Linked DNA regions of Notamacropus eugenii. The protein of the gene in region 2 purifies or fractionates together with the protein of the main gene of each other region. This does not show direct contact. Links are inferred from orthologs where the notes say so. Each region holds a gene or a part of one and is shown on either strand. Other genes may lie near its edges. The genes, in order: FAM110B, CSNK1D, FAM83H and GAPVD1.

Region 1 (7,539 bases), on a different chromosome or scaffold from region 2:
TCACATGAAACATTTGTCTAACATCTTGGTTCTTCCAGTGAAAACCTGGCCTGGTGTAAAGTCCAAAAAGCATGAAAGGCTATTTAGAAGATTTCACGCTGTTAAACTTCCTGTATCTTTGGAAATTGGGTTGAGGTAGCTAAGGGATACAGTAGTCAGAGCATTAGGTCTGGAGTCATGAAGACCTCATAGCCTTAAACAGGTACTAGCTGTGTGATCCTGGACAAGTCACTTAATCCTGTTTGCCTCAGTTTCCTCGGCTGTAAAGATGAACTAGAGAAGGAAATGGCAAACCATTCTAGTATCTCTGCCAAGAAAACCCCAAATGGGATCACCGAGAGTTGGACATGACTGAAATGATTCAACAACAAAATCAATCTGTATGTATATTTTAACATATGCAGGAGTGTGGAATACTTGCCCAGTAATGCTGGGCAACAGAAATGAAAATAGACATAATAATAGCGCCTCCCTTCCTGGCTTATTGTGAGAATCAAATGAGATAACTGTAAAGTGCTTAGCACAGTGACTGGCTAATAGGAGGCTCTATAAAAATAATAGCTACTATTATTATGGCAAGGAAGGTTAAATACAGAGAGCCAACTAGTCCAATCCATTCTACTTACCAATGAGGGAAGTGCCCAAAGAAGTTAAATGACTTGCCATGGGTCATATTTCTGATTAAAGTCAGGGTACATCTCCAGATTCCCAATCCAATGCTTTTCTCACTATGGACTATGATATCCTACTTTCTCAATAAATGTGACACAGTCTGCTTACTCCACATAGCACCATCTACTGCCACTGCACTATCTTTGCTTTCAAGAGCCAATAATGTACTACTTTTCAAGAGTAGAAGATGAATTTGAAAATAAAAATGTCTACTTTCTTGAAAAAAATTTAGTATGAAACTTCTTTCAGAAAACTAGCATAGTTTTTCTTTAATCAGGCACATTAGAAGGAAAGTCTTTTCTTCATTATCCACATAATTACTAGACATATTCCATTCTAGCAATTTCATCATAAGGGTAGGAATAAAGATATGATGGTTTTATTTTTTTATTCCCTTAAATATGGTGTGATACTTTAGGCAACTCACATATTCTTATGGTAAATTTTGACTGGGAATATTACCATCAACTTGTATAAGAAAAATGTTCTGAGATCAATTTAAACTTAAAAGCAATAATGCATCTTGCTAAAGGATTTAGGAGCATAGGCAAGAGAAATAGTGTCTAGCTACATTCTTTCCAATTTCTGGGACCCTTTATGCTGCTAGGTGCCTTAGGAGACTTTGTCTATTAACTCTTTCAGGATGCAGCACTTAGGTACCAGGGCAATGTACCGCTATAGTAATGTACCTTTAGACACTGGGAAGTTAATCCAACTTTGCCAGGCAGTAAGAATATACAAATCAGTACTTCAGTCTAAAAAGGAAACTCACAACATCAATTAATTTTGATGTAGGGTTAACCACAAACATATTTGGGGGGACAGCTAAAAGGGTGTGGCAAAAAGCAAATTTCCAAATAGCTCAAATATATTTCACCAGCTGAAGTTCACTCAGTATTCACTGATTACCAAGAAGTTAAAAAAATTACTCCTATCCAAATCATTTTTATTTGTAATTTCATCCTGGTGTATCATATGTTTGGCTTAAGCAATTATCAGCTATAATAATATACTGAGATATCGTCAATGCTGAAATCTATCTTGTCAGGTAAAACTTGGGAATAAAGTTAATAGTTTCATGTCATATTTGGCTGACCACAGGCTGTGATGCCATATATTAAACACAATAAACAGAATCATAAAAGTGAAGAAAATAGTTGAATAGGAAGAAAATAAACAAAAGATCTTTGATATCAACAGAGGGGAAACCAAGGAAATATCTTTTGAATTGAGGACTCTTTAATCTTACTGTCATAGTCCCTTTTGAAAATAGACCAGTCAGTAGCCCTTTCAAAGTCAACCACTGAAAGAGTTAGTCTCATGTAATGTTGTGACAGATGTGTGCCAGATTTTGCATCGGACATAAGTTTGGCCCCAAGGAAAAAGCCCAGAGCATGCCTACATCACAGGCAGAATAGAAAATGAGCACATTTATCATGATGCTTACTTAATCTGCCTAACAACCTGAAGGGGTTAAACAGCACAGTCTTCCTATTCTCCCTTGTACACCAGGTGTTTTCTCTCCACTTTACAGAGGAATTAAAGGACACACCAAAGATCTCTTCCTTCCCCATAAAGCTGCTTAAGGGGTAGGGGGGAGGGGTTGAAGGAAGGCGTCCCTATTCTTTGCACTATCCATGTCTGTAGTAATAACAATAATAGGACAGAAATCCAATGCTCAGGCAGCAAATATAAGGGGCTTCCCACAGCATCCTGGATATGTTTTATTGCCTAGTTACTGAACTCCACAGAGCGATCTGGGGCACTAGTGAACCAAAGATAATTTAATTCTCCTTCAAATTTGTGTGCTTTCAAAGAAAGCCTAGACATTTGAGACCATAATGGGCGGAGGAAGGGGGACAACTTCCAGAGCCCCAGGATTTACAGTTGTTGCAACCTCCCAAATAGGGATGGGAAGACAAAGCAAAATTATCATTGATGTAGTTTCCCCAGAAGTATTTGGCACAAACGATTCGATTTTCTTTGAGGAAGAACCACAGAAACCGGGCTAGGAAAGTAGGTCTAAGATCTGGGTAAGTGGTGATCCCTTCCCCCTCCCAGATTAACTTCTGAAGCTGCAACTTCAAGATCTGGGGGGGCTTTCTAAACAAGTCACACACACACACACACACACACACACAACTTCAAACAGCAGCAGTTTTCTCCTCACTGAAAGCTGGAAACTTCAGCCGCTTGACCTAATAACCGGTACCCCTTCCTATGAAACTAAATCAAGCAAAACCAATAAAGATACGACAGAGGTGCAAAGAAAGGGAGGTGGGGGAGTAACCATATCCCAGCGAGAGTCCTGCGGCTGATCCGCATTGTTGCCACCCACAGATGGGGTCTGGATGCTACCCCGCAGCCGGCACTGGCCAGCTCGTACAAGGGGTACGAGGAGAAGGGGTGGAGGGCGAGGACCTGGGGGGAGGGGGCAGGATCTCGCTGGCTTCTGCCGCGTATCCCGGGCAGCGGTGTCTGCCACAACTGGAGGCGGCCGAGGCGGAGGCAGCTGGGCAGCTGTGCGCTCCCCCGCCATCCCCTGCTTCCAGCCTTCGCAAGCTCGCTCGCTCCGACGGCTGGCAGCCCAGCGTCGGCGGCGCGCATCCCCAACCCCCCCAGGCTCCCCGGCCAAGCCTCACCTCCTGCCTCAGCAAACACGGCCCCTGCAGCCTCCCCGGAGACGCCGACTAACGAACCCCGAAGGCAGAAGTGGAGCGAGAGTCCCTGGAGAAGCCGCCGCCGCCTGCAGTGCACGAACCGCTTCCTCCAGACCCTGAATGAAACTCCCCGGAGCTGGAGCCGCCGCTGGCAGAGGAAAGAAGAGCTCGGCAAAACCGGGCCCTGCCCACCGGCCCCCGCACCCGCGGGGGAGCTTGGCAGCGGGCTGCTGCCGGCCCCCGCTGCGCCCTGCGCCCCAACTTGCAGGGCAGACCGGCGGTGAACAAAGTGCGGTCTGGTCGGCTCCTATCGGGATCCGTGAGCTTGCCGAGCCCTGGCCGAGAGAGACAGTGATGTCGGGTTTATGGCCGCCTTAGCTTGTGGAGGCAATGGTTTGGTCCACACCGAAGTGGGAGGGCTTAAGGGATGTTTAACTGTGCAATTGAGGGAGGGAACTTAGTTTGAGTTGGGGCTGTGGCGTGTGGGAGCTTGTGTTAGCTCACCCTGGTCAAGCTTTATTGTGACTGTTATTATTATTTCAAAGCAGGACCATGGGGAGTTCAGAGTTTAAAACCCAAAAAACACCACCACACAAAACCACCGAAATGACAAAAGATAAAATTCTAAGGGTTGGGGTAGCCTGCCCCCAGTCAATCAATCAAATTAACCAGTCAGTAAATTAACATTTATAAAGTATCTATTATGTGCCACGTATTGTGCTAAACGCTGGGAATACAAAAGAAAGGTATGAAAACAGTCCCTGACTCGCAAGGAGCTCACAGTCTAACGGAGGAGGCGATGCAAACAGCTATGTCCAAACAAGATAGATACAGTATACACACTGGAAATCGACAGAGAGAAATCATTAACTTTATAGGAGATCGGGAAAGATTTGCTGCAGAAGGTGGGATTTTAGATGGGACTTGAAGTAAGCTAGGAGACAGAGATGAGGAGGGAGACAAAATTTCCTGAAATGTCAGGAAAGCTGACAGCAAGTGAAGGTGCCCTGAGATCGGGTCTTGTTCGGGAAACTGCCACTGGGTGTTTGGATCTGAGTAGGGGAGTGGGGGCAGGGATTAAGATAAAAGAAGAATGGAAAGGTTTACGTGCATCAAGGTTTGAAAGACTTGGAACCCCACAACGGATTATATGTTTGATCCCGAAGGTGATAGGAAACCTTTGGAGATGAATGAAGGGAAGGGGGGGAGGGGAGGGCGAGGGAAGGGTGCCATGGTCAGAATTTCAGAATTAGGCACCATACTTGGTCATTTGTACTTACCTTGGTGACCATGGTTATGTGGGGCCCTTTTGTATTTTCTAAATTTTGTGTTGCTCAATACAACCTTTTTTTAAAGCACTTTTAAAATTTTTCTTGAAGAACTTTAACCCTCAAGATTTTTTAAAAGGTATTATGAAGAAAAAAAAAGGAAATCTTTTAAACGTAAAAAGTTATACTCTCTCTCCTCCATACAACCAATTCTCATAATTGTCTAATTAATATTCCAAAAATGCAGCTCTAACTATGCCCCTCTTCTGCTCAAGAACGTTCAGTGGTTCCCTATTACCTTGAGGATAAAATACAAACTTAAATTTGTTATTTTAAAGTCTTTGTTCTGGCTCTAGCTAGTATCTTTATAGACCAATTATGAGCTATTCTTTATACACATTGTTCATACAGCACTCTACTTATCAGGCTGCCCTACTTGCTCCTTCCTGTTATAAGATACCCCATCTCCCAATCTGTGTGCCTTTGTACAAATTGTTTTCCATGTATGGAATATTCTCCCTTTTCTCCTCAGTCTCTCAGAGTTTCTACCTCCCATCAAGGTTCATGTCAAGTGCCATATCCTCTAAGAGGTGAGATTCCTATCTTTGGGATTCCCACAGTCATTAGTGCCCTTGGACCTGTATTTATTTGGTTTGTATCCTGTATTTGTTTATCTGTGAACATCCCCTTAGTCCAGAAGTTCTTAACCTTTTTTGTGCCATTTACTTCTTCAGAAGTCTATCAACCTTTCTCATAACAATATTTTTAAATGCATAAAATAATATACATAGGGTTACAAAGGAAACCAATTTAGAGAGAGGTAGCTAGCTGGATGGATGGATAAAAGTTACCCCTGGTTAAAAAAATCTAAGCTTCTTAAGGTCAGGCACTGTCTTACTTTTGTATTTGTATCCCCAGTGCCTGGAATATATAGTATACCAGTGCCTGGTACATAGTAAGGGCTTAATAACTGCTTATTGATTGATTCCTTGACAAAGTTTCTACAGTGTGACCCCCAAATCTACTTTTTAATTAATGAACATTTTCTGAATAACTCAAAATTGCTATTCTTATTCTTGGCTATATTTGTTATCATTTTCCTTCAGAATTTTGTAATAACTAGAACTTTAAGAAGGACTAATTGTATGATATCTAAACTGACATAATCATTAATTATGTTAACTAAAAGTATACCCAGCTTACGCAAACATATCAAAATTAGTTCAGCACTAGTTGTTCATTTTCAAAAGAATTATTCACTTAAAAAAAAGGTTTATCATGGAATTATTTATAACAAACTGTTACTGCAGTTTAAACTATGATTCAATTAATACACAACTTTTCATTTGTATTGTATTATATTGCATTGTATAAGAAGGCTATACCTACATTTGAACTTTCTCAAAAATGCTTATGTAGCAAAGGAAGAAAATTTTTCTCAGCTTCAACTCAGAAATGACTACATGTATTTAATTCTCATAATACTTTTTTTGCTGCCAAAAATAGGTATGTTTTAAGAACGGTAACATGAAAAATAGGTTTTAAATAGAACTCTTTCACATGCTAATGTCAGCACTGTAATAATAAATTATATCAGTGTTAGTCTCTCATATTAATTCAGTTCAACTGACATGCATAAGAGATTATCTTATTTGAGTTTCACAATAACATTATGAGGGTAGGTACTAGAGTTACTGTTATCTTTATTTTACAGATAAAGAAACTGAGACTCAAATATATCAAGCAACTTGCCCCAGGTCACATAGATAGGAATACTCAAGAAGCAGGAAGAAGAACCAAATTCTTCTATTCTTTTTCTTTATTCATTTGATCCTTTTGATCTGTGAGTCTGAAGACATAGGTTCCTATAGGTTTGTTCTATAAGTACCCAGATCATACTGAAGGAGTCACTAATGTTTAAGCAAATATGTTGTCTAATATTCCTTTAGCATTTTAATAATAATAATATGCATTCAGAGATAGGAAAATAATGAAATATTCAAGTCAGAAAGTCCCAGTAATTCTTTTGTCTTACCAAGTATTTTGAAAAAAAAACTAGGCCTCCTCATCCCATTTGTTTGAAAATGAAGATAAAATCCTACAATAGTAACCTCCAAGGCACCATCCAAATTTTTTGTTCTGCTGGAATTTTCCTGCATACAATATCACTCAAAAAAAACCCCCAAACAAACAACTGAGTCATCAGCCTAGAAACTTAGAAATCTTTTGTTTTAGAGCTGTGGTTGTTGTTGTTATTGTTGATTTTTGCTGTAAAAGGATATGGCAGGATTTGACCATCCATTCCTTATTCAACATATTACTTAGACATTTTTCACAGAATATTACAAATATTTAAAGTATTTGTAGCATAGCAAACACATTACTCTCTGTTTTGTAGGAGATGGGTCAAGCAAACACCAAGAATTACCCCTGGGGATGCATTTGCAAGAGCCAGTTAATGTAGGAAAATATTACTATTTTGAACAGTATTACATTTTTTAAAAATAAGAACATAGTCCAGTCAACAATAAGTATGATTTGTTTTACAAACTCTTATTTACTAAATTTTAATAGGTCATAAAAATATATAATAAGATCAAGAGAAATAGATAAATCAGGAAGAAGGCACTGTCTCTTTCAACAAGGTAATAAAATTAAATGGAGATAAGGAAACAGCGTTGGTAATTAACACTGGTAGTTGGTTCCTGTTCTGACCCTAAGGCTGTTCAATTTACCTCAGTATTTTTATGGAGGGATTTCCAGTTAAGGCATGAAAGGTCATAGAGGAGCCCAGCTCTCCCATATTATCTCCAGGGAGAATCTAAAAAGATACCAGATCACACAATTATTAAGAAGTCCAAAGAGGCAAATCAGTAAACCAGGACTATACCCAAAAAAAGATAATGAGAAGCCCACAGTAACACCACACTTCGGATTGT
Region 2 (8,156 bases):
ATAAAACTTGCTCTACTTCAAGGGAGTAGGGCAAAAGTTGCATTCAAAGAGCAACAAAACCCCAAAAGAGGGGTCATTCTCCAGGTTTACCAGGAACAAAGAAATATCTTCTGTTTGTCTTCATTGTATAAACTACCTCAGCTTTTGTAATACTATTTTATTTTATTTTATGGTTTACAAGATCCTCAATTCCTTTTCCTGGGTCTGGTGTGAGATGAAGGACCCAGAAAAGAAAGGAGAAAAGATGTCTTTATAGCAATAAGTAGAAAGCAGAGATATTATTGAAATTCAAATGACATCTAACCTTCAAAGACATATAACCAAGCAAAATCCTAAACTATTCAACACAAAGAACACCTTACTCTTTAAATTTGTACACTATTTTTCCAAGAACATGCTAGAAAGGAGTTACTTGTGAAAAGTAGAATTTCTATGAGAAAAACTGGGAAAAAAAGTTTTCAGTTCCAAAACTTCTGCCACATTCAAGTATTATTGCTCACACCTATTCCATTCCCACATGCTGAAACAACATAGATCATTTATCCAAAAGTTAGTTTTCCCAGAGAAAATGATGAATTACAAACTTACCTTCCACATTTTAATAGTCAAAGGATTGTTTCCAGAGTAGAAAATTCTCAGGTACTAGCCTGTAGTTTTGCTAATGACTAATTCTATATAAGCCTGACACCAATTATTTAGCCTTTCTGGGTTTCTTTCCTATCATTAAAAGGAGAGTAACACTGATTAACACGGCATGGAAGGCAAGTTTAAATTACTTTATCTTTAAGCACTTGGAAGAATGTGTGCGTGTGTGTGTGTGTGAGACAAACATATAAACTTCATCAACTAAAGGCTACAAAAATAATGGCACTGATTTTGTAGGCATTCCAACTCATGGCACATCCTTTCAGTAGTAGACAATCCTATTTGTGATCCTTCTTAACATTCCTAAAGAATTCAAGTTATCTAAAATTCTCCTCCTTCCACACTCCCCCCCCAAAAAAAGTTAATTGGTGGCAAAAGATATCTATCCAAAGCCATTTAAGTGGAAGAAACTGGGACCCAGGAAGGCTTTTCAGTCACTTACCCAAGGTCACAGAGGGATTGGATATAGCACCCTGGGCCTTCTACCTTCTCCATTTATGACTCTAATCATGGTTGCTACTGTTGTCAAGTTTATGTTTGGTAGGAAAAAAGGAACTAAAGCAAGAACGTATCTGTAACAAGGTTGCTGTAGGAACTGTAACTGTGGAATTTCCGGACTTTTGACTAGTGTGTAGTTCTCCATTTCCACACTGCATTAGCGTTGTTTTGACATTTTCCCCCACGAGTACAAAACACATGGAGATTATTGAACACATGGGGATCCCAGAGAGAGCAGTAAGATGGGGCTGTAGAGTCTTCTGAAAGAGACATGGCCTTTGTTTATTTTTGGACAATACAGTGGAGAGGTAGCAAAAGCCCTACCCTATCCTCTCTAAAAAGCACAGACACAGTTACAGTAATCTGATCACCAGTCTCTTAGATCTTCACTGAAAATGCAAAGATTTCCTTTGGTGCACTGTGTTACACCATCCCAGGTAACTAAGAACACAGCTCTCTCAGATATTTACTTACTGGCAATTGCATTATAGCAAATATAGCCATCCATTACAATAAATACCCCCTTCATAATACCATATCTAAAAAAAAAATAAAACATAATAGTTATTTGAACTCAAATCCACAGCACTATTGACACAAAAATTTATTTCTTCATTCAGACTCTTAACCATATTAATTTCAGGAAGCAATATATTTCAAACTGTTCTAACTTTCAAGAGCTACTGCTGATTTCATCCCTTAATTTCAAAGCCAAAAGAAGCAATCTGGTATAAAGGAGAGAAATACGAATCCGGGAGTCAGAAATGGGTTTGAGTTCAAGCTCTATCATGAATAAGCTGTATGACCTTGAACGTGTAAAAAAACCTCTTCGAGGCCTCAGTTTCCTAAGCTATAAAAATGGGGGATGAGGAGCAGGAGAGATGGACTGCTTAAGGTAACTTCCATCTCTAACATTCTAATAAAACCCTAGGGTCGAAGTTCTGCTGATGAAATGTGAATTAACCTTCCCCTTGATGTTAAGATCTTTTCCAAAGAAATTATTTTGGAGACTCAAAAAGTCAGACCTAGAATCAGGAAAAAATTAGTATCAGACCTTCCATGACCCTCTAACCCCCAATCAGTTCGGGTTCCTGAGCCCTCAAGCCAATGATCTGGTCTCCTAGGGCAGGGCCAGAATCTGATTGGGGGAGGTGGGGGTGGGAAAAGGTGGGGAGTTGAGAACAGGATGGATGGATGGTCTGAGTGGTTAGAACCTAAAGCTGTTACACCAGGGGGTCTTAGATCTCCCCCAAGGATTCACCAGAGAAGCAAAATGATTCACTCTCAGAAGGGGCTAAAGTAATTACAAGCAACCAAACAGGACGCTGGAAAAAGTCTCACACCCTCCAGGCTCCCCGCTCTTTCCCCTCCCCCCGGCCATTAATTAGCTCATGGGGAAGGCAAACCCCAAAGGCCAGCCCAACCAGGTTTCCCAGGCAGGTGTCAGCTGCTCCAGGGGCTCGAGACTCGAGTTCGATTCCCCCGGAGAGCCGGAGATGGCCACCGAGGGGTATGAGGACCGAGCCCAGGCTGCGGCTCAACAAAGGTGCTGGGGTGGGGTGGGGTGTTTTGTCTGGGCTGAGGTACACCACAGTAATGGGGAAACCTGGGGCAGAGGGTAATGGGGGGAGAGCATCCCGGGGTGATGAAAGGCTATGATGGTCCAGGAAGACTGGCGGAAGCGACGAGAGGGCAGGAGCCGGGGGCGGGGGGGGGTGGCAATGCGGGGCTGGGGGGTGAAAGGAAGCCGAGTGTATGGGGGGGGCAGTATGGAAAGGGGGGTAGTTCGCTGCGGGAGCAGGGCCGGGGGGGGGGGAGGGGACTGGGCTTCAATCCTCACCAAGATAGATGTCTCCAAAGGAGCCGCTGCCGATCTTTCGGCCCAGCCGGTACCTGTTCCCAACTCTCAGCTCCATGACGGTGGTGGCTTCGGCTCCGGCCTGGTTCGCTCCCTCCCCTCCCGACCGCTTCCTGGGTCTGCGCTCCGGGGGAGGCGGCGCCGCTGCTGCCGCTAATGCGGGTCCGGCTCCCGGCTCCGCCCCCCTCACGGCCCCGCTTTCACCATCGCTTTCCGGCCGCCCCGCCGCTCCCAGCGCCTCAATATGGGGCGGATGGGACAGTCCGAGCGCCGCCGCCCCTGCTCCGGCCCCCGCCGGCCCCGTTCGCCCTCTCCCCACCACGGATGGACTCGGATCTTCCGGGCCTAAATCCCACTTCAGCCGCCTAAAGGAGCCGCCGCCATCGCGCTGTGACGTCACTTCCCCTAGCAACCCGGCGGGGCGGGGCCCGCGCTGCTCTGGGGACACCAGCGGGGCGGGGGCGGGGAGAGCGGAGTGTGAGGGCAAAGGCGGCCGGAGCCTGCGGCTGGGCGGGTGGGCTGGGGGTGAGAGCCTCCCTGGGCTTGTGTGGTGCGCCTGGCCCGATCGGTTTGGCCGTGGTCTCTTGGAGGACGTGTCAGTAGTGACTCACCTGGGGAAAGCCGAGCCTTACCTGTACATCAGCCCCCCCCGCCGCACCCCTAGGCAGTGACCCGTCCAGATCCCCCCCGTCCAGACCCCCCCGTCCACCTAACACTTCCTTTTCTAAACCAGCCCCCCTCTGCCATTGAGACCCTCTCCAAAGCCTCTGAAACAAACCCCCGAAATGGGGAGAGCCGAGGAGAAGGCTGGGGTCCCAGACCCCTTTGGCTCAGTTCTACCTGATCACCGCCCAGACGGCACTGGGGAAAGATTCTCGGGTTCGGGATCAGTTTCCCCCACCTCCTCGTGGGCCCAAAGGAGCCTGTGGCCCGAGCCTGTCCTCACCGGCCTCTCCGTGGTCAGGGCAGGGGCAGGACTGGAGGCAAACAAGCTGGGGAGAGGAAGCCCTGCAGAATGTCCACTTAGCCCTCTTCTTGTCCTGGGCAGCTGGAGGCAGGGGAAGAGGCGGTCTTTTAAGAGCCCAAGAAAGCAAAGACTTGGGGCCCTTGTCTTGGAGTCTCGGGAAAATGGGAGTTCTCAGCAGCCTTTGAAATCCATGGTGGAGAACTCTCTCTCTCTGTCTTTGTGTCTCTCTGTCTCTCCCTGTCTCTCTCTCTCTGTCCCTCTCTGTCTCACTCTCTGTCTCTCTCTCTCTCTCTGTCCCTCTCTCCCTCTCTGTCTCTCTCTCTGTCTCTCTGTCTCTCTCTCTCTGTTCCTCTCTCTCTCACCTAGACCTGTAGGATGAAAAATAGCCAAGCCTCACAAGAGAAAAAAACAAAAACAGAGAAAGGGTAAGGGAAGGTGTAGAGAAGGGATTTCAGTTGACAAAGGCCCTATAACTGTAATCCCTTATTACAAGAGATTCAAAATGTGGACGGCCCTTCTGAAGTATTCAGAGGAAGCCCACCGTCCAGTCTTTCTCCTTAATCTATACTGAATTGCTACCTACATCCAACTCCAAGCCTTACTGCTGACTGTCTTAGACTTTTGCACTAACATGCTTCACCTTGGAAGTTTACTTCACCTCTGGAATTCTCATACTGGAATTGCCCTCTGCCCACTTGAGCCTCTCCCTCTGGTTACCGGGTTGCTTTCTAAGCCTTCATTTTAAGAAGGATGCCCCAGTCAACCATGTCTTATTCCTCTTTAGGCTGTGCTTCTGACTTTCCCCAATTTTCCGTACCATTCCCCATCTCTTCCGGTGGGTACCCTTTCTCTCCCCTCCACTTCCTTCATGTTAGAAAGTAAGCTCCTTGAGAACAGGAAATATTTTTCTTTCTGAGAGCAAACACTTAAATGCTTGTTAACTTGACCACTGTATTTGGTTGCTGCTAAGATATTCCAGAAAGTTGATAACGGATAGCGGTTTCCAGCTGTTGTCCAAAATATTTTTCTCTTTCAAATAAATCCTTCTAGAAAATTAATGTCAAGAAAGATTGTCTCTCTTATATGAACTGAAGCTGAGTGAAGTGAACAGAACCAGGAGAACATTGTACACAGTAACAGCCACAGTATTTCATGACTGACTTTGATAGACATAGCCCTTCTCAGCAATGCAAGGACCTAAAACAATTCCAAAGGATTCATGATGGAAAATGCCATCCACATACAGAGAAAGAACTGTGGAGTCAATGCAGAGTGAAGCAGATTATCTTCTTTTTTTTGTATATTTTTTCTCTCTAATGGTTCCTCCCATTCATTCAAATTCTTCTATACAATATGACTAAGGTTAAAATGTTTAATAGTAATGTATATATAGAGCCTATATCAAATTGCAAGCCATCTTGGTGAGGGGAGAGGGAAGGGAGGGGGAGAAAATTTAAAATTTATGAGAGTGAATGTTGAAAACTAAAAATAAACAAACTTAAAATTATAAAAATTGTCTCTAATATAAGGGGAGGGAGGGTTGGCACATAATCAAATCAATTGCATTCTGGTTCCTTCCTGCCTTTCTAGTTGTCTTACAATGCTCTTTACTGCCCAGAGATTCTAGGCTTGTTTCAGACTTCATATATAACACTCTATCTCTCATCTTTGTACCATTTCATTGGCCATCCCAATGCCTGTAATATATGCTCTCTCTCCTCACTTTCCCCTACTCACCTCCTGCTTCTGGAATCCTTGGTTTTCTTGAAGATTCAGTTCTAACACCTCCTTCTAGCACTTTCTGGTCCCCCGCTGTGAATGCCCTCCCTTCCAAAACCGCCTTATATTCATTTTGTATATTTTGTTGTTGAGTTGGACTCTTCATGACCCTATCTGGGGTTTTCTTGGCAAAGATCCTAGAATGCTTTTGCCATTTCCTTCTGCAGCTCATTTTACAGATGAGGAACAGGGTTAAGTAACTTGTCCAGGGTCATACTGCTAAGTGTCTGAGGCCAGATTTGAACACATGAAGATGAGTCTTCCTGATTTCAAGCCCAGTGCTCTATCCACTGTGCCACTTAGCTACCCTCTATTTTGTGTAGATTATGTATATATTTGCATATATACATGTCCCCTCCTTTAGTTCACACACTCCTTGAAGACAGGGAAGAAGACTGTTTCACTTTTTTCTGGTACTTAGAAAGTACTCCTTGAGGGCAGGAACTGTCCTTAATGCTGGTTGATTGATTGATTGGTTAAGCCAGTGTGTGCTAAGTGCTGAGTGGGTCCATCTTGTGTTCAGGAGGTCTAGGACCTATGGTATGAGGGCTTGCCTAGTCATTTTCAGGGCTGCTCCTCCACCTTTGGTGTCTACTTGATTCACCTGACATTTCAGCTGTGACTCCAAGAAGCTGTAGCATGAACTGTGGCCACACTCCAGTAAAACCTTCTCAGCAGATAAACCAGAATGAGGGTAACCAACAGACCTCAAACATGTCGTGAGTTACGGAGATGTCTACCCCAATCATGTGAAGACTTTCCTTGGTGGAATGGGCAGATGACAACAATTTGTTTCAACTGCCATGAAGCAGGACGATTAGAGTTTGGTGAGGTGTAGAAGATACCAGGGTCATCCTCTACATCCCAGAGTATTGCCAATCATCCTTGACTTTTGTCCTGCCACTGAATTTCCATGACTCAGGAAAAGAGAGTGAGAGTGATGACTGCAACACTGCCTCACTTAAATCCAATTCACACACAGGGCAAGACCCGTGTGTCATGGATCCTCTTCAAAGACAAAAAACAAAGGACAAACAACAACTAAGCACTCATAATACAAAGACAAGAATAAAAGAGTCCTTCCCCTCAAGAAGCTCACCTTCAAGACTCTAGGACTTTTTTTAAAGGATCTTTGATCTAGGAAACATTATTTCTTGAATGGTGTCTACTAATCTGAAAAATAGGGACATTTATCTAAACCTGAGCTGGATTTTAATGTTCTTATTTCAATCAATAGATCAATAGATTATATGCCTTCTAAGTTCTAGGCAGTGTACTAGCTGTTGGGGAAACAAAATAAATGAAAAAAACCTACTTACAAAAAACTTACATTCTGATGAGGGAAACAACATATATGCAGAACAAACATAAATACAAAATAGTTAACTGTAAGATAGTCTGGGAATCAGGGGAAGGAGGTACTGAAGTTTAGACATAGCTGGCCTTCCAAAGACTTTAACCCTTTCTTCTATTAGGGTGGCAGGAGGCCACCCTATAATACTCAATTATAAGTAAGTGTTTTGAGAAAAAAGGAAAGTGGATTCTAAAATCTATAAAACAGAAGTATAATGAATTTTTCTAGAAGGACTAATCAAGCAAATAATAGCTTTTCATATTTGCTATTACTCTGAATCCTTCTACCGAGAGGAGTAAGATTATTAGATCTATCAACAAATACTCCAGAAGTCATAATAACAATTTACATTTTTAAAGTTTTAAGACTGCCTTCTTTTTACACTTATCATCACCCATCCCTGTGACTTCCCAGATCACAACTTCTCTGGCCTCCATTTTTCATATGTGATGACCTCCTCCTATCAGAATGCAAGTTTCTTGAAGTTAGGGATTACCTCATTTATACCGTTATAGCTTATTCCAATGCCTGGCACAAAGTAAGAAATTATCACATGCTCTTCCTCTCATTCGTTCAAAGTGTATATACATCATCTCTTGATAATGAGGCCTGTGACATGGGTACTATTACTGTCCCTGTTTTATAAGTGAATAAACTGAGGCCCAGAAGTTTAATGTGGCTTGCCCAAGCTTATACAGTAAGTAAGCAGAGTTCAAACTTAGGTCTTCTAAACACCAAGTCCAACTATCTTTGTGCCTATTGTGGTTTGTACAGTGTACAAAGAAGTACAGGCAGTCTCAAGCTTACAAATGAGTTCTGTTTCAAAAGTTTTAAAGTTATTTCTTTGGAATTTCAAACATGTTTTCCCAATAAGAACAATGTTATAAGTAACAGCTCTGTTCCCAGGTAAGCCTACAAACCTTCCTCCCCCTCTCTGTCCAACTTTTTTTTCCCTTTGCCTTGAAAAAACCATAAAGACTAATAATAGTACTATTTCAACTCTTCCTAATTGCCATATTCAGCATTTTTCCTTGGGCAAATGCATTTGAAATTCT
Region 3 (8,049 bases), on a different chromosome or scaffold from region 2:
TTGATGTGGGTCTGTCCATGGCTGGGTATGGGTTTAGTCTGTTGGAGGGGGAAGGTAAGAGCAAAAATGGGGTAGAGACTAAGAAGAGATTTAAGAAAGGGGTGCTATTATGTTAGAAAGAGCATTGCACTTAAAGTCAGGATTTGGGTTCAAATCATGACTCTAGTACTTATTACCCATATAACCTTGAGTTACATCAGTTTCCCTCTCTGAAAAATGATTGGGTTGGATCAGATGACCTCTGAGGTGACCTCCAATTCAAAAGCCATATTCCTATAAATTAGCACAGCCTCATATACAGGGTGTCCCAAAGGTTAAAACTGCACTCGGACTTTTGGGACTTCCCAAGTCTTCTCTTCCCTAGGCTAATCATTCCCAAGTACACTCAATCAACAAGCACTTAAAGAGTTTACTATGTTCAGGCACTAGATAGACTAAGCTTTGGAGATAACAAAAAAAAAAAGACATTGCCGTCCGTGCCCTCAAAGATATATGCTAAGGGCAGAAACATATGTAAATTAATTGGTAGATACAGAATACACACAGTAGATGGAAGGGTCCTTCAGCTATTACTCATGAGATGAATGGTAGGTCCTTCCCCAATCTGGCTGCCTTCCTCTGTTCTGTCTCTTGCTTATCAGTGCCCTTCCTAAAGTATGGCACCCAGAAATGAACGCAGTACTCCAAATGTCTAACCCAGGCAGAATAAACAGAGTCTCAATTTAACCCATCCAACACACTTTAAATGACTTATTTTGCAAGACACCGATCTTGGCTTTGAGGATACAGAGACAAAAATACAATAGCTCTGTCCTCAAGACTTTACATTCTGTACAAGAGGTCCAACATGGAAAGAAGGATGCCCAGGACAAGGAAAGTTAAGGAGAGAGAGGGTGTTAGCACCTAGGAACATGAGGGGTGGCTTCAAGGAAAAGGTGACACCTGAGTTGACCCTTGAATGAAAATAAGATTCAGAGGAAGAGGGAGTTCATTTCCAGGCCAGGAAACCCCTTATAGCTGAACAAAGCAGCGTCAGACTAAATATATTGTCTCCTCTGGTCCTCAGAATAAACAGTTCCAGTAAAAGCCAGAGTGATCCCAGAGAAACCTCTAGTGAACCCTGAGAGATCCTAGCTGAGTTGAGTGTACTCCGCCCCAGAGACATTTCTGAGAGACCCTGACTGACCCCTGGTTGACCAAAGATGATCTGGTGATATTTTAAACTAATCCTAAAAAGCTCATTCTTCTGTTATCTTCAAACTTGGTTATGCCCATAGAGATGCTTCAAGCTTCCCACTTATCAGCACTTACCAATCCATGTCATTACCACTAATCCATGTCTAATCTATGCAAGCATATACTGAATGAAATGTAGTACACTGCTCACAACATTTGACCTTTCTCATTCCATTCCCTCCAGTTCTATGTCCCAACCCTCTACATCTTGCAGGATTCTCCATGCTGGATAAAAGAACCCAGGAGAACCTACCCCCTGGGAGACTCAGAGAGCAACTGTTTAATACCATTCCCCATCCCCCCCACCCCACCAAGCCTCACATCTGAGTCCCTGAAATAGCCCCAGCTGAGTCTGAGGCTACGGTCAGCCTCCTTAATGAAGTAATGAGTACAGCCATGGCGTGCTTCCCCGATCCCTAAGCACCTAATAAATGCCAGGGAAGGGGACAAATCAACCAGGAAACTAGCCCTTAAGGGGAGATGGGGGCAGGGCAGAAAAGGATGCTTCGGACATGAGCTTTCTCTGCTCCCCATCAGTCCTGACTCACCTTACTCAGCCAGTCTCTCCCATCACAAACAAACATGAATGTATACCCTGCACTTTAAGTAAACAGATGTTTCCCCATATACACATGTAGACATGCATATACCCTCCTCCTGGGAACATTCTCCTAATGAGAACACTGCCCCCAAAACACACATATACACACTGTGCCTAACACAGTATGATCTGAATACATAGGTACATATGTATCCTCTCCGTAGGAATTACTTCCCCCCAATGCCTCCCCTCTTCTTATCATCTGCCTAGCTCAGGCTAGCCTCCTTTATCCTGTACTCAGCCCTGTAAAACCAACTCACAGACCTTTAGTCTCCTGTGTGTCCATTTGAAAGTGGCCATTTCACTTTTTTCACGTTCCTCACCTGGCCAGCAAAGTCGCCCAAAATATTCCCCATCACATATGTCTACTAAGCCCCCTTGACTTCTTCCCAAAAAATATTCCATCATTGCTTCTACACAGCCCTCCCAGAATATAGCCCATCATACATGCTTATCATCCTTCCAGATTCCTACTTGGAACACATTTCATTTCATGCCATCAGACATTCTCCAAATCCCTGTTTATAATACACTCCATCATACAACTGCTAACCCCCTTGCCCAGATCATGATCCATCAAATGTTTGCCAGTTCTCCCCACTCCTGTTTAGAACATGCTGTATCATATCTTTCAGCAGCCCCTTCCCAGAACATGTTCCATCACATATTTGCCAACCTATTGCCCAGAATATGTTCTCATTCCCCAAATTGTTTGCCTCCCTAAATATCATATGATCTATCTCCCAGCTCCTTCTAAGATAGACATTTCATCAAATGCCCAATATACCATTAAAGCCATCTGTCTTTTCTATTGCCTTTTCCGATCAACTTTCCCTATACACAGTAGCTATTCCTTCCCAAAGACTCAATGATCAGCCAGTACCCTTCCCAAGAGGACATAGTCCTCTCTATCTAGTCCCCTCAGGGTCAGTGACCAGCTTGTCCACTGATTGAGATGTCAATGACCAGTCTATCTGTGGAGTACTGACTATCAGTGGTTCATCCATCTCTTATTGAATCCGTACACCACCTCCAGTGGTACCCCTTGACTGTGGGCCCTGGTTCTTCTCTCAATGACTTACCTGACCATGCACCTGTTCCTCCTGCTCTTCAAAGCCACCTGTCCTTAGCTGCTCCAGCTCCAGGGCTAACTCAATCCCCTCCATCCGTACCCATGCGTGCTCCTCTTGTAACTGCTCAAGCCATCGCTGCTCCTCTTGCCATAGCTGCTCTTCCCGCCATAGTTGCTCCTCCAGCTGCAACTGCAGCTGAATCTGCCGCCGGCGGTCCTCCAATAAGAGCTGTTCCCTCTCCAGACACAGCTGGACCTCTTGGAGTCTCAATACTTCCTGTGCCAGGGCTGGGTCAGGGCAGCTGGCCCCATATCCCCCCAGCTCCATGGCTGTGACCAACACCAGTTCTTGGCTTGCTGTTGAAGCCTCTACCACCTCTACTGGACCTGAACAATCTGACCTGACCACTGGTCCAGGGTGCCCCACAGGAACTGACTTGCCCATCTCACCCATCTCCTCTATCACGTGGTTTCCCTGACCCGCCCCATCCTGGGGGCCCCCTGGGGCCAGTGGCCTAGTCTCAACTACAGAGCCTGTCTCACCCCCTCCCTTCCGACCCCGTCCCTGTCTCTTAGTTCGGGGTCTACGGTTCCGACCACGCTTTCCAGACATGATGTCCAGTCTAGGTTGTTGCCCCTGAAATGACTATCTGCACTGCCCTACTGGTCACAGACCACTCTCACTCCCCAACACCCCAGAGGGCCTGGTCATGTTGCCCAAAGTGTTATCTCTGACCAGCCTCCAGCAAAGATAGTGTTTGAGGATGGCACAAACTCTCAGAATTGAGTCCCAAGATAGGCCAGTCCTCAGGCTCAACCCCCCAGTGGTCCCGTGCTTGCCTGCCTGTCAGCCAGCCGGTATCCTGTCTGGTCCGTCTGCCTCTCCCCCAAGCACCCTCCCGGTCCTCCAGCCGGCACCTCTAGCCTGAGAGCCTTCTGAGTGTCTCTCAGCCCAGGAAGGCTGGGGCTAGGCCAGGCTAGGTTGGAGAGTTTATAGGGACTCCAAGCTGCCGCCTCTCAGCCAGGCCTCAGAGGCTGACTAACAGGCTGACACATGGCAGCAGGGACTTTATGGGCCACAGGCCTGGTTAGCCAAACCAAAGTAGAACTCCACAGAGACAGAGCAAGAGAAGCAGCTTTCACAGAGGCAGGATCTGACAATGTGTTTACAGCAACTTGTTGGGTCCTGTTTCTGGGCTGGGCGTATACCCACAGCACTGCCTTATATGGAGTCACTTCAACCCATTGCTGATAGACCGGGAAACTCAAACCCCAAACCCTCACTTATCTTGTGTGCCCTGGACCCTTAAGGAGCAGAGACGCCTTGAACCCTTACTGACCAGTTGGTTTTGTAGTGACAAACCTTTGATCAGTTAGCTGTCCAAATAGTGTAGCTGTTCAAAAAAGAATATTAAGGGTATCTTAATTTTGAAAGGTCATATGGTATAAAGGAAAGAACATTGAATTTGGGTGCTGAGGACCTGAATTTGAATTTGAATTCTAACTTTCCTACTGTGTGATGCTGACAAGTCTGACTCCTCTAAATAATTTTGAACATCCCTTTCTGCTCCAAAAATCCTAGGAATTCAGAGGAATTCCAGATCCCCACTGATAATAAGAAACCCAAAATCCAAGCCCTCCCTGACTAACTGACTAACAAACACTTCAGCCTCCCAGCCCACTGACTGAGCCTTCACTGACCAGGGAAACAAATCCCAAATTCCACAATTCTGAAGTCCGTGTGGGTATGACTATATTTGCTACTAGGGGAATGCTGTGGGAATACAGTACAGAGAATATAATCCCTATGCTCAGAGCTATTTGAGAAGATTTTAGCTGACACATGGAGTCTTTGAAAGGTTTACAAAGTGTTTTACATACATTATCTCATTTGATCCTCACACCAACAGATAAAGTGGGAGACCAAGGCTCAGAGTTTAAGTAATTTGCCCAGAGTTACATCTCTAGGAAATATCAAAGGCTAAATTCAACTCCAGGCCTCTCATGACTCCAAGTCCAGGGCTTTTTCTTTTATACCATGCTCCCTCATGAGATATGTAAGAAAAGAGTACTAACAGTACCTGGTGGCACATAAGCAGAATTAAGTGAGTATTGGGGCTGATGGGGATACACCTTGACCTCTGCAGGCTCAGAGGGATGTAACAAGTAGGAAGAGAGGGATCAGTCTGTCTGCTGATCACTGAGGGAACCCTGAGCTCATAGACAACCTGTAAGGGTTGGTAGGTTTGGGAGTCAGTGGAGGGCACTTAGATGAGCAAATGCTTAGATGTGTTTGAGAGCTGTGAGTGGCCCAGCTGAGGGGGGAGCATGATGGTTGCCTCCAAATAGTAAAAGAGCTTCGAGGCAGAATAGTGGCCTGAGAGGGCAGAATGAGAAGCAAAGGGTGGATGCTGAAGGGAGGGCAGATTCAGGGTGAAATGTCAGGCAAAGGTTCCTGACAATAAGAGCTGTCCAAAAGTGAACTGGGCTTCCACAGGAGGTCCACAGACAAATACTGAATGACAACTTGCTGGGAATATGGATTCCCACTTAACTATGGGTTAGATTAGATTAGACGTCTGAGGTCCCTCCTTGATCTGAGAACATGAGAATGGGGAATCATGCAGGATGCAGTCAGGGAACCCAGGGACAAGGCCCAAGAGAGTGCTGACTCCTGTCCCACTTCAGCACTTCTCCCCGCTTCCCTCACCACTCCATCATTTACATGATATTTCACATGAACTCAAGACTTCCTTGCTTATGGGAGTGGAGAAAGGGGGCTTCTTTAACCAAAATGTAATTGTTAATCAAATTCCTCTAAAGTACATGGATATGTAAAAGTCCAGTTGAGGTTGGTCCTAAGGAGAGAGAAAAATAGGAGAGAGGGGGAGAAGGGTGCAATTGGGTGGGGCCCAGATGAGACAAACAGTATTAAAGAAGGGGTATGGGTGGGGGTTCTCTAAGAGTAGTATCTTGATCCCTCCCCTTCCTCACTTCTTCCCACCACAGTCTGCTTTGGGTGAGTCATACCAACGCCCAGAGCTCAATAAACTCCTCAACCTACCGGCCCTTCAGGTTTGGCCTCCCAGACCCCTCCCCCATCACCTTGATTCTCCACCCTTCCCTCCCTTTCTTTCTTCTCCCCATTGGTCCTAAGAAGTGGAAGAAGAGAAGCCCTGGGGGGAGGGGTGTGCTGGGCGAGATCCAGCAAAGTGTTGGAGAAAGTAGTTGCCAACGTAGCGTAGGGCTATTGGTAAGCATGGAAGGAGAGGAGAATCATAGGTGCTGCCTCACCTCCAATCTTAGTAGCAGGGGGCACTGAAGCTACTTCTATCGTGAGTCCCCAAACCCAACCCCCTCCTGGTTTAATGGGAGGCCTGGTGAGTCACAGATCTTTCTGGGGCTTCAATTTCCGCTTTATGCTTTATGGGAAGAAGCTGAGGCTACCTCAGAAGGAAATGGACTAGCCCTTGGAAGCCAAGAGCTGAGTTTGGGTTCTTGGCTACTGGACAGACATGTTCAAATTTACATCAGACAGACATCGCAATGTAACTTGGGACTGGAGTGTGGTCGGTGGACAGGGTGCTAGATTAGGAGTCTGGCTCTGTCACTTATTACCTGTGTGACCCTGGATCTCAGTTTCCTCATCTGTAAAATGAAGGAGTTGGACTAAACCTTTCAAGTTTATCCCAGCTCTAAATTTATGATCCTAGGACCCTTTGCTCTTCCTTACCCTCCATGTACAACCAGGGGTCAGTGTTTGTCGATTATATCGCCAAAACATCTCTTAAGTCTATCTCCCTTTGAAACTCAAAGTTTTAAAAACAAATGTTTTTACATGTAACTAAGGAAAAATAAAAAGCAAAATTTAAAAAGGAAAGAAAAATCCATCTCCTTTTCTCCATTCAAATTCCCATCTCCCTAATTCAGGCCCTCATCAACTCTTAATAACAACAATAATAGTAACTGACACTCTAAGGTTTTAGCATTAAATAACCCTCTGAAGTAATTGCTACACTTTCCCCCAGTCTCATACAGATGAGCAAACTGAGACCAGAAAGGCTGAGTGATTTGCACAGGGTCATAGGGCTAATAAGTGAGACAGAGTTTGAGTCAAGATCTCCCAGGCGCTTGGGTTCTCAACCCAGGAGTCATCTTGGATTCTCCATTCTCTATTACTCGCCCCCCATTTCCAAGCTGTTGCCAAGGTTGTCACCTTTACAACATCTCCCTAATATACTCCCTTCTCTTTTCTGACACTGCTCCCACCCTGGTACAGGCTCTCATCACTTTTGCTGATGAATCAATCTGCCTCTCCCCACTACAATCCATTCTCTCTATTCAAACACTAAAATGGTTTTCCTAAAGTGCAGATCCAAACTTGTCACACATACACCCCCACCCCCATTCCTTATGGCTTATTCCCTCCAGTAACAAATAGAAAATCAGTTTGGCGTTCAAAATCCTTCATAACCTGCCTTACTCCCTAGCATGTACTCTTTGATCCAGTGTCCCTGGCCTCCTGGCTGTTTTGCTAACAAGACAGTCTACCTCTGAGCTGTAGGCATGTTTTTCTGGCTGTCCCCTCTGCCTGGAACACTCTCTCTCCTCCATTCCAACCACTGACATCCCTGGCTTTTTTAATCTTCCACCTTCTATAGGATGTCTTCCCAAATTCATCTTCCTTCCAGTGCCTTCTCTCTTTTAATCCCTATTTATCCTGAATTTAGCTTGTTTTGTGAACATTTGCATTTGTTTGCATGTTGCCAGGACCCCATTAGATTCTAAGCTTCTTGAGGGCCAAGACTGTCTTTTGTCTCTTTCTATCCTCCATGCTTAGCCCTGTGCCTGGTACTTAGTGTGGGGATAATAAATGTTGTTTGATTCACTGTGGAAACCCTTTAAACCAGAGAACAAAATTTATTTAATAACAAATACTTCATATGGAAAAATATCTTATTAATATGATGTATGAAGCATTTAAGCTAGAGTAATCACACTCAGGAAGGCCTGAGTTCAAATGTGATTTCAGACATATGCTAGCTGTGTGACCTTGGGCAAGTCACTTAACCCTGTTTGCCTCAGTTTCCTCATCTGTAAAGTGAACTCGAGAAGGAAATGGCAAACCACTATAGTATCC
Region 4 (7,666 bases), on a different chromosome or scaffold from region 2:
TTTAAAAACCTCTGACGCATCAAACCCCATCATTTCACAAATAAAGAAATGGAGGCTAAGACTGGCAAAGGGATCTACCCAAAATAACACAGCAAGCTAGTATCATGGTCTGGCAGAGATTTCGGACTCTTTGACTCCAAATCCAATGCTCTTCTCACTGCACCTCTTCATCTACCCCTTCATTTCCAAGTCTTTAACTGAACCATACCAAAACTGGGAGATACCATCTAAATCCACAATGCAGTAATCCTCTCTACGAATAGTAATGTGTAAGATTAGCTCCCCCAAACCAAACCTCCATTAAAAGCACCAGGTCTCAATAAATACATAAAATGAATAAAAAGATTCAAATTTCAACCTGTTAAAATATTTATGGAGAAAGAACAGTGATATATTTTGCTTACATAAATAAAACATTAGGTCTTAGAAAACCATTTGACTCTATGCACTTCAACAAACATTTATTAAGCAATTATGTAAAGGGTACTATCTGCGAAGTAGGTAGTTCAACCATTATAATCCCCATTATGTAAACTAGAGACAAGATGTAGTCTCCTCAGAGAACTCACTCAATATTCAATTGTCTGAATCAAATACAGTAAAATTCCATTTTATCACCTTTCTCCCTTTTCTTCATGAAGAATTAGCTTCACTCTTTTTTTCATCATTATTATTTTACAGGGGGGATTCTCACACAGGGTGTTAACAATTATTCTACTAAGAGCTGCAACAGTAAAGTCATCCAGATATTGAGAAAACAGGAAGATTTATTGGCTGGTGAGGTTAATTCCAACACAAAGGTGAAAAACAATAAAACTTTAGAGAGGCTAGAAGAGAATTTTAAGAGAATGACTCACCAAACCTATTTACCTTCAAGTCTGCCTCCTTCCTGAAGGGAAGGTTAACAGCAAGACAGATCACATGCCTTTCATTCTCAATAAAGAAAAAGCAATCTGTCTTTGAGAGTGGTAGCATGTGTCTGTCTATAAATCAGAACATTTAAATTAAGACTAAAAAAACTGTTCTGCTACCAACTCCCAAGAGGACTTTACAGGCCTCCCATATCTCAGAACCAGAGGGAGCATAGGTATAAAATCTAAATGCCACAAAGCCACTTTATTATCCTCCTCAAATTATTACCCTGGCTTAACACTGTAACGTAGTATATTAAATGTTTATGTTTTATGCTAGCCTTCAAAACTAACTCGGCTGTGACCTAAATCTTTTCCTTCCTCTAATTAGCAAACTACTGTGGATACTGATCCCCTCCTTTTAGTCACTTTGTGATTTGTATATCCTTATTTACTAAACCTTGGTAGAGGAAGATTCTGACAGTGAAATAACAGATCCCACTGTATCTCAAGCCAAATATCCCGAAAGAGTTTCTATGGAGAACCCACTTCTTCCCATAAGGCTTCCAAAATTTCCCTTAGGCCATTCCAAAGACAAAGTTTCTTACTGAGCCCTTTCTTGATGTAGATAACAATATGCTAAGTGTAATAGAATGAACAATTCTGACTATGCTCCTAAGAACAAGTGAAAGAACACAAATCTTAATATTCTAATAACTTACAGAACTTCAAGTTTCCAAATCAGTTTACATAACATTTGAATCTACAACACTAGGGAAGTAGTGTTGTAGCATTATCACCATTATACCAAGACTGAGAGAGGTTGAATAACTTTCACATGCTCATGGTCCCACAGATAGTAAGTGTCACAGGCCAGATAGGAACCCTAAATTTCCTAACTACAAGCGCTAAGACTGTCTCCAGTTTCTACTAGAGTGGAAAGGAAATTATGAATCCAAAGTCATCAGTTCATGTAGGCACTGACCTGGAAACAGGACACCTGGGTTCAGGTCCTGGCTCTGATACTTACTAGCTGTGTGACATCAGCCAAACTGCTTTCCCTCTCTGGGTCTCAGTTTCTTCCTCTATAAAATGAGGAGACTGGACTAGATAATCACTAAGGTCTCTTTCAGTACTAAGAGTATATGAAACTTGAGGAATATAAGTTCATCCCCAATGGCTATTATTACAACGCATAGAAGCTACACCTTCCCTGCCCTAACCTAAAAATAAAAGATTCTTTCCACTCCCATATCCCTATAATATAAAACACTAAGACCCCAAATGGGGTCACAAAGGGTCAGACAGGATTGAAACAGCAACAAACTCCTCTGCCTTTCACTAAAGGCACCCCAGAGCCTAGTTCCAATGCACTTTATTAATCATATTTCATACAATTCCTCTTCATGCACTCTTTCCAACCAAAATACACTACATACCTCCTTTTCCATCCAGCCCTCTCCTGTCTGTACATTCATGCCCAAGTCCAGAAACCACTCTCTTTACATCCAGACCTACTGAAACTCTCCCCGTCCATCAAAGTCAACTTGGATTGGAGCTCCTTCACACAAAGCTTCCACTGCTTCCCCCTCCCCACTCCAGATTTTCCCAGAGCAGTCTGTCTACAACTCTTCTTTACTATATACTATATAAATGTTACCTCACCCCAGCCCCGGGAGAGGGAGGGCAGAAGCACGGCGACAAGAACACCAACAAGACGTGTGCTGGGGGTAAATCGGAGGTGATCCGAGGGAAGGCCCCGGAATTGGTGAGGGTCTACAAGGGTTTCCGGGAAGGGTCCGTGTCTATTCCTTCAGTGAATTACCAGCTAGGGACTGAAACTTCAAGCCCCCCGCGCGCCGCCCCCCGCCCCCCAACTCCGGCTGGCTCCACCTGCTCTGTCTTGTTTATTTTCCCCAAAGCCCTTTCCTCCCTCCTCTCTCTGCCTTCCCTTCCTCCATCCCTCACCCCTCCCTCCCTCCTAACCCTTTCCCGGCCCCGGCCTCGGGCCTCGCCACGCAGGCCGACCTCCTCGCTCCGCCCGGCTGGCTCTCCCACCTGGCAGCCCTGGCCCCGGTTCCTCTTTCCGCCCCCTCCCCCCTCGCTTTTCCCCTCCCCCCACACTTCCCCACTCGCCCCCTCGGGGTGCGTCCCGACCTCCCCCGACCCTCCCAGCCGCAGAGGGCAGGGCCAGGCCTCACGGGGTCTGGCACCGGGGCCGACGCTACGCATTCCGGGCTCCGGACCGGCCGTGAGGCGCCGGCTGTGGGCCTAGGCCCAGGCGACTGGGACCGGGCCTGGAAAGGGCGGAGGGAGCCGAGGGGGCAGAGGGCCGTGAGGACCCACACTCACCAGGGGAGACCAGGGCGGGCGGGCGGAGGCAATCTCCGGGCAGAGGCTGAGGCTGGGGCTGAGGCGTCGCCTGTCGCAGCTCCTCCGTCCGCCGCCACCGCCGCTCCCTGCTACCTTCGCTGCGTCCAGGGGCTGCCTCCCCTCACTCAGCCGGGCCACCAGCCTCCGCACCGATGCGCATGCGCAGAGCGGGACAGGCCGCGTGGCCGTCGGGACTTGTAGTTTCCGGACTGTCTTTTTCTCCGGGTTTCCTGCCTCCTAGTACTTGGATCAGAGCTGTACGACCTTGGGCGTTTCGCTTTCTCGTTCTGTGCCTCACTCCCTCTGCAAAGCAGAATTTTCTTTTTGGTTCGAACCTGTGTTTTCATTGGTATTGGGATCTAGTGAATAACTTTTCTCTACCAATGCAGATGGGCAAACTGCGGTAAGTCCAACATCATCTCCGTGCCCAGCAGGCGCTGTGTCCAGCACCGGACCGTGTCTCCTAGTGCCAGTCACCTGGCATGTTCAGAGTTTAAGTGATTTGGCCAGCATCAGACAGCCAACAGGAGTCCGAGGCTGGACCTGATGCCAGCTCTCTCACCACCTCCCCTGCCTCTCCGGTGTGCTGGGTAACATCTCCACCCATGAGTCCCTCAATGCTAGCCCTGTGACCTTGGGCAGGTCACAGGATCAGAAATTTACATCTGTCCTCCAGGCTAGCCCCCTCCTTTTTTACAGACGAGGAAACTGAGAGAGAACAGAAGCATCTTCTTTTAACACTAGTAGAAAGAAACGGAGGAATTTGAACCCAGCGCCTCTGATCCTGTATCAGAGATCAACACAGATTTGATGAAAAGTCAACATTTTGTTTATAACAGGTTTTCCCCCCTTGCTTTTTCATTGAAAATCAATGGTTTGTTCGTAGCAGGGTTTTTCTTCTTGCTTTCTCCTCCCAAAGCAGTGGGGGAGGAGGAAGAAAGCATAACTTTATGGAAATAAAATAAAATGAATTTTTAAAAATGTTTTCTCCCACCATCTACCTACAATTGAAATAAATACAACAAGGGATGCTGTGAGGCTCAAACGAGATAATAGCTGAAAGCACTTTGCAAACCTCAAAGCACTATATAAAGTTACTATTATCTGCCTACATTCACCAGGCTTCCAGTTTGTGGATAACTTCAGTCCCTTGCAAGAAAACAGATAGTTAAGTAAACAGACAGATAGTATATGCATATACACATCTTTAAGTTCGGTCTGGATTATTGACACTGTATTAAGTCTAGACAATAAAACAATAAATCAGTCCCTAATTTTTAGTGACAAATTTCTGGGGTATAAATGCACAAATGAAATTTTAATAACCAGTTCTTGGAAGCCAGTTACAGCTTGTTCCAATAAACTCTGTATACAACCACCATAACCTTAATCTTCTTAGCTATTTTTCATCTCTTGGAACCCTTCCCTTCTTAAAAACCCAGATCAAGTCTACCTTTTCCTTGAAATCTCACATGCTCTGAGTCTCAGAGTTGGAAGGGACCTCACGGGTTATCACTTCCAACCCATACCTGAACAAGAATCCTTTTTCACAACAACCCCAAGAAGTAGTGATTCAGCATCCGCATGAATCCCCACCCCACCCCAAATGTATTGCACCAGGACAGAAGGAAACAGAACTGCATTTTTTTAACACATCTTAGAATCATAGAGGCTTTGGGGAATACAATTTCTGTTGCACAGGGCCGTGGAGCTGCCACAACTTACTCCTGAGCTTGTAATCCATTAAAAATCCCACATCTTTTTCACAGGACCTTTTATCTGGTCATGCCTAACCCAAGCCCTATTCATGAAGTAGATCTTTTTGAAAAGAAGTATAAGGCTCCACAGTTATCTATTTCAAATTTATGATTTTTACACTTTGCACTTCATGCTGTAGCCTGTCAGGATCCCTTTGAATCCCAGCTGTCATCCAACATGGTAGCTACGCCATTCATCTTAGCCCACCCAAATCTGCAAATTTGACAAGCATGACACACTTACACCTTCAACCAAGGTCTCTGATGAAAAAAAAATTAAACACCACAGGACCAAAAACAGGTTGCTGGGCATCTTTACTAAATATTTACCTCCTATGTTGATATTAAGTCACAAATCACTATTTTTGGGTGCCCAATCATTCAATGAGCTCTAAATCCACCAAACTATTCTATTATCTGGCTCATGTCTTTCTCTGTTATCCAGGGAAGCGAAGGGGAATAAGTATTTATATAGTACCTCATATGTGCTAATACATTTTTTTTTTTACAAATATTATATCATTTGAGTCCTAACAACAACCCTACAAAATAGGTGGAGTTATTCTTCCTATTTTACAGTTGAGAAAACTAAGGAAAACAGAGATTAAGTGACATGCCCAAGGTCACAGAGCTCGTGAGTGTCTTTCTGAGGAGGCTCAGCACTCTATCCCCTATGCCACCAAATGCAGAGAGCATGAAATACTTTGTCAAATATGCCCCTGAAATCCAGGTATATTACATCTAAAGCATTTCCCTGCCAGTCTAGTCAAAACCCTGTCAAAAAAAGGAAATGAGGGTAATCTGGCATGACTCATTCCTGTTGAAGCTACTATGATCCTTACTTATCTCTGTTTTCCTTTATTATGTTCCCAATCCATGCCTTTGATAATGTATTATGGAATCTTATGGGATTTAAAATCTGTTGAGCACACCAATCTCCCTTTTTTGGAAAATCTGGACAAAATTTACCCTTCTGCAATCTTGTGACTTCTTTCCAATTCTCCAGTATCTTTCAAAGCTCACCACTGACCCCTCAGCAATTCTAGTACCTGATGAATTCAATTCATTGAATGCAATTTAAACATCCTCTTATCATCTCATCATTCTTTTAGGATTTTAATTCTTCATTAAACATTTTTGCTCCATTCTTTCTAACCCAAAGATCTTTCCCCTTAGCAGTGAAAATGGAAGCAAAATGAGAATATAAGAATTGAGTAACAACCATTTCTCTGCACTCTGTTATCATCATCCTGTCTTGTCTTATCTGAACATGGGTCATATCCCTTCTTTTTGTCCCCCACACTCAGAGCACCTGTGATTTCATTCTGATGTCACAAGTTTCCTACATAGATCTCAACCCACTCAGGACTTAGTAAGTGAGTCCTAGGCACATACCTGAAGCAAATAAATAAGAGACTTATCCTGCATCTAGGAATTAGTTATTTCTCTTAAAGAAGTGATAGAGTTTATTGTGAGTTCATATTTTTTAAAATAAAAACAAACCCTTTTTGTTGTCCCAACATTCATGAACAGCTACTAAAGTTCATGTTGAACTTGTACTGCCTCTAGCACTGTTTTCCCAAAATCTTACTAATATTTTATAATCCTCCTCCACTGCTGACCTTTACCTCTAGGTTCCATGTGTCTTTCAGTAATGCAGATTGTTAGATCCATTCCTTGTAGGCCTACATGTCTTTTAAACAAGTTCATTTTTTTTTCCACAATCAGAATTTTTTTTTTGTTTAGGGTTTAATATTCACTTGTTTGTGTATTTACTTTATCACTCCATTAGAATATAAGTTCCTTGAGGACAGGAACTTTTCTGTCTTTGTGTTCCTAGCACTTAGCACAGTATCTGCCATGTGCTATAAATACTTGATGAATTGAATTGTATCTTCAAATTTTCTTTCTTGAGTACTTCCCATTCTTTTTTGGTTGACTCTCCACAAAGAATTTTAGGCCATGCAATCTATCTAATCTTTCTGTAGTCTCTTCAAAATCTTCTTTGTCGAAATTTATCATACACATTACACTATGCCTATCAGTCCTCTCCTCTTTCCAAAAATCCACAATGAAGATGTATAATCTGCACTTGAAAAACTTTTTTTATTTTTGGTCTGATATCAATAAATATAATATTAGGTCTGATATAAATAAAAAAGAATCACAAAATAGTTTTTCTTCTTTCTTTGTCCCTCTTTTGAAGAACAAAATTCTCATTAAGACAACTCAAGAGTGAACCAGCTGTTCTGCTTTTAGCACATATCTGAATAGTTGAAATCCCCCATCACTGCTCTCTCATACTTTCTTGCCAGATTTCTGAGCTATTTCTATTGACTCCTTCTGTCCAGGTGGTCTGTAACTTATTTCTATGACAACATGACTTCTTTTTCTCCTTCCTCTGATTCTCCAACCAAATATATTCCACTAAGGTTCCCTCTTCAAGTTCCTGAAGTTCTTTGTGTGTATATGTAGCAATGTTTGGTTTTGAGGGGTTTTTTGTCTTGTTTTTTTTTTAACCCAGACATAGCAATCCCATGGATGAGGGTGTGAGCATATGTTACAAGGTAGAGCAACATCTCTAAGGTGCTGTAGAAGACAAATATGCCCAACTCCACTTTCAACCTGATACTTGACATTAATTCTTTCACATCAGATTTATAGGCAATCAATAATTAAAATTCT

What was found.
Region 1: the proteins of CSNK1D (region 2) and FAM110B purify together in Homo sapiens (affinity purification with mass spectrometry; 3 studies listed by BioGRID and IntAct, counting the BioPlex papers as one, with this or other methods). This does not show direct contact. The link is inferred for Notamacropus eugenii from reciprocal best matches to the Homo sapiens genes CSNK1D and FAM110B.
Region 3: the proteins of CSNK1D (region 2) and FAM83H purify together in Homo sapiens (co-immunoprecipitation; 5 studies listed by BioGRID and IntAct, counting the BioPlex papers as one, with this or other methods). This does not show direct contact. The link is inferred for Notamacropus eugenii from reciprocal best matches to the Homo sapiens genes CSNK1D and FAM83H.
Region 4: the proteins of CSNK1D (region 2) and GAPVD1 purify together in Homo sapiens (affinity purification with mass spectrometry; 5 studies listed by BioGRID and IntAct, counting the BioPlex papers as one, with this or other methods). This does not show direct contact. The link is inferred for Notamacropus eugenii from reciprocal best matches to the Homo sapiens genes CSNK1D and GAPVD1.

What each region holds. Positions count from the first base shown.
Region 1 is NC_092875.1:276,397,508-276,405,046, reverse strand, and holds the start of FAM110B (protein FAM110B), read right to left. Parts: upstream 3,447-7,539; 5' UTR 3,315-3,446; intron 1-3,314. UniProt on the Homo sapiens protein: May be involved in tumor progression.
Region 2 is NC_092873.1:327,096,259-327,104,414, forward strand, and holds the start of CSNK1D (casein kinase I), read right to left. Parts: upstream 3,398-8,156; 5' UTR 3,060-3,397; coding exon 2,984-3,059; intron 1-2,983. UniProt on the Homo sapiens protein: Essential serine/threonine-protein kinase that regulates diverse cellular growth and survival processes including Wnt signaling, DNA repair and circadian rhythms. It can phosphorylate a large number of proteins.
Region 3 is NC_092875.1:85,158,198-85,166,246, forward strand, and holds the start of FAM83H (protein FAM83H), read right to left. Parts: upstream 3,315-8,049; 5' UTR 3,238-3,314; coding exon 2,920-3,237; intron 1-2,919. UniProt on the Homo sapiens protein: May play a major role in the structural organization and calcification of developing enamel. May play a role in keratin cytoskeleton disassembly by recruiting CSNK1A1 to keratin filaments. Thereby, it may regulate epithelial cell migration.
Region 4 is NC_092872.1:447,544,148-447,551,813, reverse strand, and holds the start of GAPVD1 (GTPase-activating protein and VPS9 domain-containing protein 1), read right to left. Parts: upstream 3,394-7,666; 5' UTR 3,204-3,393; intron 1-3,203. UniProt on the Homo sapiens protein: Acts both as a GTPase-activating protein (GAP) and a guanine nucleotide exchange factor (GEF), and participates in various processes such as endocytosis, insulin receptor internalization or LC2A4/GLUT4 trafficking.